Linked DNA regions of Coturnix japonica. The protein of the gene in region 1 interacts with the protein of each later gene in a pairwise test. Links are inferred from orthologs where the notes say so. Each region holds a gene or a part of one and is shown on either strand. Other genes may lie near its edges.

Region 1 (3,807 bases):
CATTGCTTTAGTAACATATGCTGTTTACTTTCCATTGACTGAGAACTGCAGCTTAGAAATGCTACACATGTAAAAGGCAGCATCCAGTTATTTTAGAACTAGAGGCAATTCTTCCTTCTCTTCTTGTGAGTGTCTGGGAGGGTTTGATTTCTCACAGCTATAGAGTCTCACAAGGTAGACATCCAAGTCAAAGCCACTCAAGCAGCCCCCTTTGAAGTGATTCATCTCTTCTGCATCAGATGCCCATCACAGAGAAAAGGAATTGTCCTGTGAAGATGGCTGTGTGACAGGTGCACGGCTGAGAAATAAATGTGGCCTTAGTGTCACAGCTTTTCCATTGTTATTTTCCTTTATGGAATGCTGGACTTTGTTTTCTGCTCCTTTCCTCTGCTCGACAAGGCCTGCTGCTACATACTGGCTAGACACGCCAGCACCTGGATTCTGATGAAGGTGAAGCACAAATGCAGTCTAAATGAGTTGCTTGGCTGTGAGATACTTTGATAATGAATTGACTGACAAGATCTCACTGATCAGAACTGGCTGCGTGAGCACTGTATCAAAGTCAATGCTGCCTGCCCCATACAGCAGTGAGTCATAAGTGGGGCTGTGGAGATCATGAGATCAGCAGTGTGTTTGGACTTGAAAGAAAAGGACCATCAGATTTTACTGCTGGAGAATTTCATTTATATATATATATATATATATATATAAACATAAATCTATGTTTATAGATTTCTTTCAAGGGCCCTTGGGTTATTCTCCTAAGGTCTGCTCAGCATGACAACGATACCATGCCACAAATGTCTGTTCTAGAAGCATCCTACCCACCATGAAACAACCTAACACAGTCTAACAGTGGCAGGACAAGGGACAGTGGCTTTAAACTAGAAGAGGGGAGACCTATGTTAGATGTTAAGAGAAAGTTCTTCACTCAGAGTGTGGTAAGGCACTGGCACAGATGCCCATGGAAGCTGTGGGTGCCCCCTCCTTGGAGCTCAAGGCCAGGCAGGATGGGGCCCTGGGCAGCCTGAGCAGGGAGTTTTAACCCTACAGTGACTCTGTGTCTGATATGTCTGATTATGTTAAGCAAAGAAAAACAACTGAGAACCAAAACAAACAAACAAACAAAAAAAACCCAAACCACCAAACAACACCAAAACAACTTCACATTATGTTAGGAATATACATGTAGGACTCATTGTAAAGAACTTTTCTTTCCAAATCCTTATTTCCCCATTCATTAGCTGGTAAAATTTCTTCTTTATGGGAATGCCTCTCTCCAATCTGTTTTCTTTTCAGGAAAGTCACTCGGACATGGGGCCTTCGGGAAGGTGGTACAAGCATCTGCTTTTGGAATTAAGAAATCACCAACATGCAGAATTGTTGCTGTGAAAATGCTGAAAGGTACCTCACTGCCAACCCAGGCTGGAAAAAATGAGGCTCTTTATCATATCATATCTCACTTTTAACATGATTCTGTTGAAAGAAGTATTGTGTGATGCTACCCCCTGCCCCTGGCTGTCTAAAGCATCCAAAATGTGCACACTCAGTTTCAAGGCTGCCAAGATCTTCCATCCTAGTAGCAGAACTCTGAAATAAAAATGATGTCCACAGTAGAAAAGTTAAATTGCCAGGTGGAACAGGAGGAAGTTTCAGGTGCACCAAGAGCCCGATAGTCTGAGTTTCCTAAAGTCTTGTTCCATTACTTAAAGAAGGAATGAAGTGACTCTTATGGGATCAGAGCAGGGAACTACTACTATGTATCCTGCATTGAGCCATTATGCTGTGTTGACCCTGCACTGAGCACAGTACATAGAACTTAGCTGAGCCATAAGGCATCCACCTTGATGACACTCAGGTGGAAGTTTCCACATAATCCTTGGTCATTAGTTCTGATGATTAATCCTCTCGTTGTTAAAAACAAGTGAATTGTAGCTCATTTGCATCTGCCTGGCTTTAGCTTCTCATTCTAACACTCTCTATTAGTATAGGCCCAGCAGTTTTTCTACATGAAGGCCTTTCTATTAAGCAAAACAGACTGAGCAATTTAAACCTCTGAGTTGCTGAGCAGGTGTGCTCTCTCTGAGACACTTGCAGCTTCATTACATGGTGTTAGGATGCTGTTGCCCAGGTAGGGTGATGGAATTGCCATACACTAGCACTCATCCCAAGGTGAAATCATCTCCATTTTTATCATTGGAGAGGAAAGGACAAAGACTCTAATCAATTTAAAGAGGACACTGGGGAGCCTGTACAAGGGGCACCTGCTACTGCTAACTCCAGGATTGTCCCCAGAGGGGAAATTTTCAGCTGACAAGGTTACAAACCTCCCTCCTCTCTCTTATCCCATAAGCACAGAAAAGCCTTGTTAGCAATACACAAGGAGCAACTATCTTCCAGTAAGCATGTCTGGGAAATGGGAAGAAACTAAAACTTTGGTCCCTATGAAGAACTTACGCAGTGGAGGGCCAGTAGCTGTTCATGTCACAGGTTTCAGTGGAAGCCTTCAACCTGGGTCAATACGCGATCTGCCAGCACACAGATAGATGAGTTCATCAAATATCTGGCAGTGGCTTGCCACATTCAGCATTTCTTTATGTACATCTACAGCCAAAGCACCAGGGGTACTCCTAGAACAGGTGGGAGCAATGGCAGCTGCAAGAATCCTTCATGGTGGGATTTATGTACGCATGTGCAGAGTAGGTTCTTGTTTCTGAGTTTGTCACTCAAACTCCCTTTGTTGTCAATGATGAGAACAGTTCATCCCATCCTCAGGCAAATCCCACAGTCTGGTGTTCTGAGCACTTGTATAGTTCTGTTGCCTGTGAACAGAGCCTGTGGTGATTGGGTCCTTTGGGCACTTTTCCCTACCTGAAGATAGGGAAGATCTGTCTCATGCCTTATGTCCTCACCAGATTATCCAGTAACTATGGAGGCATTCATGAGCTTTGTACATGCAGAATTCCCATGAGGTGGGACAGATGAATATTGAGTTACTGATTAGATAATCAGTTTTGTGGGGGTCCACCAAGAAAATCTGCTTCCAAAACGATGTTGAAACCAAGCCCTTTAAGACCTGACTCTGGGTTCTTTTCACCAGACAGTTCTCACTCTTGGCAACATTCAAGTTTTTTAGTCTTCTTGGGTCTATGAAAAATAACACTGTTGGGTTTTTTTTCCTTGTTTTCTTGCCAAAACAAAATTCTGCAGCAGAATTTTGCTTGGATAGAATGAAAAATTCTGCTCAACACTAAGTAGAAACTTTTATGTTTAGTTGTGAGATTCCTTACATCACTGCTGTTGCTATTAATATTGATCATATCCAGAAAGAGTGAGTTTGTCCACAAAGTTCAACCATTTAAAATGTACGTGTCCAGTCTATGTCAATACTTCAGGCTTGTTGTGTGATCAACAGATTCAGAGGAGCTTCACCAAAAGGTGGTTCATCCCTTCTCTGAACATGCGATAGCACTGATCAGCCTCTGGTAACACCTTGCTTTACCACTGACTCCTTGGGAAGTCAACTAGTTCAGACTAATATGTAACTGTTAAGTGGCTGAAGTCAGGTCAGTTAAAAAACTACTCTAGATCTCTAGTACTCTTCAAACCTCTTTTTATTTTTTCATTCATTTTTTTTGGCTGCAACTACAAAACATGTGAAAAATTCTTTCATTTCTAAATATACCCAAGTCTACTGGGAGGAAGTTGACTGCTTGACTTTTTTATGGGTTTTATTGCAAGTAAGAGGATGCTTGGCAGGGACGAATAGAAAATAATATTAGCATGTGAAATACATTCAGTAATGAA
Region 2 (4,535 bases), on another chromosome or scaffold:
TCTGGGTCTTCACTGTGGGGTTAGCAGTGGCTCCAGGGCTCACCTGGTGAGAGGGCTGAACACGTATACGGCCAGGGAATGCACTGTGCTGGAGACGGGAGTCGATCAGCCCCCCTGGGGGTGGCTCCTTGCCTGGGATGCTGTTGTAGTAATCGTGCTCGGCCACCTCATCATCCTCCCCCCACGCTGACTCCTCCATCCCCAGCACCCTTGTGCAGAACACAGCAGGGGCAGCTGGAGACACAGCCCCACTCCAAGCAAGGACAAGGCACAAGAAAGAATGGAGGGACCCCAGCCCTACCTGTCTGGGGGTACAACAGCCTTGGGTGGGCTGTGCAGGTATTGCTTGAAGCGCAGCTCAAAGGCCTGTCCCACCGTGTTGATGACGCTCTGTGCCAGCCCATCGCAGCACTCCAGGATGTGGCAGGCTGCAAACAGGCAGGTGAATGGACTTGAACCCTCCCCCAGGCTCACAGCAGCCCCCCAAAGAGCCCCCAGCTGCCCCTCACACCCCACCAAGAGGTGCCCTCCTCCAGCCCAACTCATCCCTTCTCCATGCCCCGGGAATCAGCATCACCTCTCTGGTTGATGGGGTCCTTGGCGACGTAGGCGACATAGTCCGTGGTGTCCTGGGGACACAGAGGGTGTTTGGGGCTCATGTCCTGCTGCTGTGTGTAGAGCGGGGCTGAGGCTGCCAGTACCAGACTCAGCCCTGACTGCTCCAGCCCCAAGGACTGGGCTGTCCCTGAATTCTGGCTCAGTCTGGCCCCACCATGGGATGGGCAGCCCCACGTCCCCACTCCTTGAGTGCAGGGCTGGGACGTGAGAGCCTCACCATGTCCCCACCGGAGGCAAAGGAGATGGACTGCATGTGGTGGTTGGCGATGATCTGCAGGGCATGGGGAGGCCATCAACACCCAGCTCAGAGATAAGGTTGGAGGCAGAGGGTTGGGATGCCTGGCTCTCACCTGGCGCGTGGTAGGGATCATGAGGTTCAGGCCATCAATGGAGATGTTGACAGCGATGCTCATGCCTGCAAAGCGGAGGTTGCTCTTCCCAAGGATGGAGAAAAGGGCTTTGCTGGGAGCCTGATGGGGGACAGGAGCACAGGGGTGATGTTGCCCTTCCAAAGAGCCTTTATGGGGTGGGGAAGACACAGAGTGCCCAACACCCCAGGCTCTGCACTGGGATCAACCATAACCCCAACCCTAAGAAAGCAGAGAGGGAATGGGCTCAGGTGGAAACTCACCTTTTTCTTCCAGATGCCCTTCACACCCGGCACTGCCTCGTACAGTCTGTTGATGGCTTCTCTGCAAGCCCCAAGTCCCACAGCATTACCATTGCAGATCCCAGCTGTTTCCTGGCTGCTTCCCCTTCCTGTAGCTCTGGGAGTATCATCCCCAAGCAGCCGCAATGTCCCCCAGCCTCCCCCAGGGTCACAGGGCTGGTGGTACGTCATCCCCACCGGGGCCACCTCCCTTCTCCTCTTTCCACCCATTGATCCGATGCCCATCACTGCATTGCTGCCTCTGTCTAAGCATATGGAGTGGCCCCTACAGTTCCTCCCAACCTCAGCACCGACCTCAATCTCTGCAGGTCTTACCTGGTGACCTGTGTCCGCGTGTTGAAGTCGAGGGATCTCATGGAGCGCAGCACCTCGATGCATCCCATGTACTGCAGGATGGGAGGGGAGGTCAGAGAAACCTCAAGGAATATCACCAGCCCCAATGCAGGTGATGGAGAGGAGGCAGGTGTCGGTGACAAGGGCTCCTCTGTGTAGCAGTGGATGGCAGCCAGCATCCCGTACCCACAGAGATGAACATGTGGATGGGGAAAACCGAGGCTCTGAGCACTGTGCGGGGGTGGGTTGGTCCAGAGCAAGGCCAGCGGCCTCTGGGCCCACTGACCATTTCTGTTGCCCTTGCACTGAGGATGGAGACCCAGGTGATGCTGTGCAATGGGCTCCCACCATGCAGCATCCAGGCCCAGGGATGCACGCCATGAGAGCACAGCACTGCTTGGCTACAGGGGCTCCCCACGTTGCCCATCCCAGGACAGAGGAGTCATGCCCAGTCCTTCAAGAGTCTGGGACCGTGTCACAGGGATGGGTGAGCAGAGGGAGCTTCCAGCTGCGGGCTTGGGGCTTCACACCTACCCGCACCAAGCAGAGAGGAGCGGGGCTGGCAGCACTTACCCTGACGATGTAGGAGACGCCAGGACCCAGCACCCGCTCGTCGGGATGCAGCCAGCCCTGGGCCGGCTTGTTGATGAAGCTGCCCTTGCGATTCCACTCATCCCCGGCCGGTCGGGCTCCTTCCACCCTCGCCGCTTTCCTGGCAGCCCCGGCCCCTCCGCGCAGCCGGCTCATCACCTGCAGCGAGCACGGAGCCGAGCAACCCGGCTCGCAGGCTCCGAGCACGGCGGCCAGGCTGGACGTAGCCCCCCCGGACTCCACGGCTCCTCCCGCTTTGGCCGGCGAGGAGAGCTCCTTGCTGGAACCCGAAGGGCTTCGGCTGAGGAAACCACCGGGACCGGGGAACTTCCATTGGGGCATCCGAGGCAGCAGCATGCAGAACGTGGTACCCGCCTCCGGCTCCTCGCTCGCAGCGGGGCACGGCTGTGCCAGCCCCGGGGCCGCACCGGGATGCGCGGGTGCCGGAGCCGGCATCGGGGCGGCCGGAGGATGGCGTGGCCGGGCCGCGGCCCTCAGCGGCTCGTCTCGAAAGCGATCATACTTGGGCTCGGGGATCATGCCCCGCCGCCCCGGCCGAGCCGAACGTTCCCGTTCCGGCGCCGCTCAGCGCCCCGCACCGCTACCGAGCCGGCTCCCGCCCCCCACCCGCTCCCCCGGGGCCGCGCAGCGCTGATGTCATGGTGAGAGCGCTCCGCCGCCCGCCCCGGCCCCTCCCGGCTGTCTGAGCATCCCCGCCTCTCGCCCTCTCCGGCCCCACTGCCCGTCCTTGCAGCCCCCCCCCGGCACGGGCAGCCCGGCCCCGGCAGCACCCCGAGCCCAACCCGGTACCCTATAGCATCACTCAACCCCGAGATCACCCCGCATCACCCAGCCTCGAGCCCCTCCCTGGCACCCCCCAGCATCACCCGGCCCCCAGCCACCCCGGCTGTGCTCCCCTCTGGGCTGCTGCCAACGATGGGAGCCCCAAAAGAGCCAACTGAATAGTGGACACCCGAGGATGAGGTGGGATGAGCTCTTTCCTGCACAAAACGGGCTGCCTGTGCTGACAGATGCCCCCCTCCCATGCCAGGGATGCCCCCAGTGGCCAGCAGGCAGCTTCTGGAAGGGGCCAGCAGCATCTGGCTGCTGCCTTCACCTGCAACGGGTACATTATCTCCATTCTTCTACCACTCCATCACCAAGAAGCATTTGCAGGGTGCCTGAGGCTGCTTGGGAGGTGGAGGGGTGCAGGGGGGGCTCTGCTGTACAATAGGGCTGGCTTATTTCCGTGCCTCCCAACCCAGTGGTCTTGTCCACTCTGATTTTGTCTGGCTCCCACTTGTTTATATCTGCCTGGAGGGCTCAGGCAGTAAAAAGCACAATCATTTTCTTGCTTCTTTGCCAGTATCTGCAGCAAGCTGGGGGGGGGTTGGGGGGATGGACAGACACATTTAAAGGGACTTTCTGACCTCAAACCATCATGTAATACTCCCCTCCCCCAGCCCTGCTTTTTGTTTTTTCAGGCATTCAAAGGACTCAGACCTCCTGTCCAGCCTGGCATCCACCCACAGCATCTGAGCAGAGGGGCAGGAGGCCAAGGCAGCCTGCATGAGGCATCGCACCCACTGTGGGGGCTCCCAGCATGACTCACACACTGGGGACCAAGCCCGGAGCCACCTCCTCACCTCGAGTCCTCCCTCGGGTGCTGTTTATTTCTGCCTTTCCATTTTCAACTGAGCATCTTTCGAAGGATGAGGACAGAGAGGGATGCTGTGCTGCTGAGGGGTCAGGTCTCTGCCCCACAGACAGAACCAGAGCCTCCCTGGGGGCTCACAGTGACCTGGACAATGCTTGGCTGCCTTTATCTCGCCTTCTCTTCACTGTCTCCTTCTCCCTGGCAGATGATGGGGGTGAAAGCCAGTAATCGCTCTAAGTGCAATCGATAAATCAGGGTAATAGAATTACATACATTTGCTGTTGCCATATTAGGAACAGCATCTCTTAGCTTCTCTCTGCCTTTCTTGCTTTGGTTTTTAAACTGCTGCAAAGTGCTGGAACACGCTGGACTCCTGCAAGCTCCATGGGGCAGCTCCAGGTTTTATTTGGTCATAGCATTGAGCATTCTGCAAGCAGAAGTGCTTGATGTAAGAAAAACAAGCTCTGCTGTCTCCTCATTCCCAGCACTGAGTCTCCCTCCATGTTGCCAGGTTCACATGCACATCTCCAAGGCAGCTGACAAATTCCATCTCTCTTTATTCCTCCAAGAACCCCAGAACCCACAAGGCTGTTGCCAAGTATCTCCCCTTCATACACCTGGCAACAAACAACTGTGTGACTTCTCATGCAGTTCCTCCTGCAGATG

Evidence for each region.
Region 2: the proteins of FLT1 (region 1) and SHC2 interact in a two-hybrid assay, tested with the Homo sapiens proteins (2 studies listed by BioGRID). The link is inferred for Coturnix japonica from reciprocal best matches to the Homo sapiens genes FLT1 and SHC2.

What each region holds. Positions count from the first base shown.
Region 1 is NC_029516.1:157,331,427-157,335,233, forward strand, and holds part of FLT1 (vascular endothelial growth factor receptor 1), read left to right. Parts: intron 1-1,299; coding exon 1,300-1,404; intron 1,405-3,807. UniProt on the Homo sapiens protein: Tyrosine-protein kinase that acts as a cell-surface receptor for VEGFA, VEGFB and PGF, and plays an essential role in the development of embryonic vasculature, the regulation of angiogenesis, cell survival, cell migration, macrophage function, chemotaxis, and cancer cell invasion.
Region 2 is NC_029543.1:1,744,457-1,748,991, forward strand, and holds the start of SHC2 (SHC-transforming protein 2), read right to left. Parts: upstream 2,838-4,535; 5' UTR 2,753-2,837; coding exon 2,195-2,752; intron 1,675-2,194; coding exon 1,604-1,674; intron 1,311-1,603; coding exon 1,250-1,310; intron 1,089-1,249; coding exon 969-1,088; intron 890-968; coding exon 836-889; intron 630-835; coding exon 578-629; intron 429-577; coding exon 302-428; intron 210-301; coding exon 44-209; intron 1-43. UniProt on the Homo sapiens protein: Signaling adapter that couples activated growth factor receptors to signaling pathway in neurons. Involved in the signal transduction pathways of neurotrophin-activated Trk receptors in cortical neurons.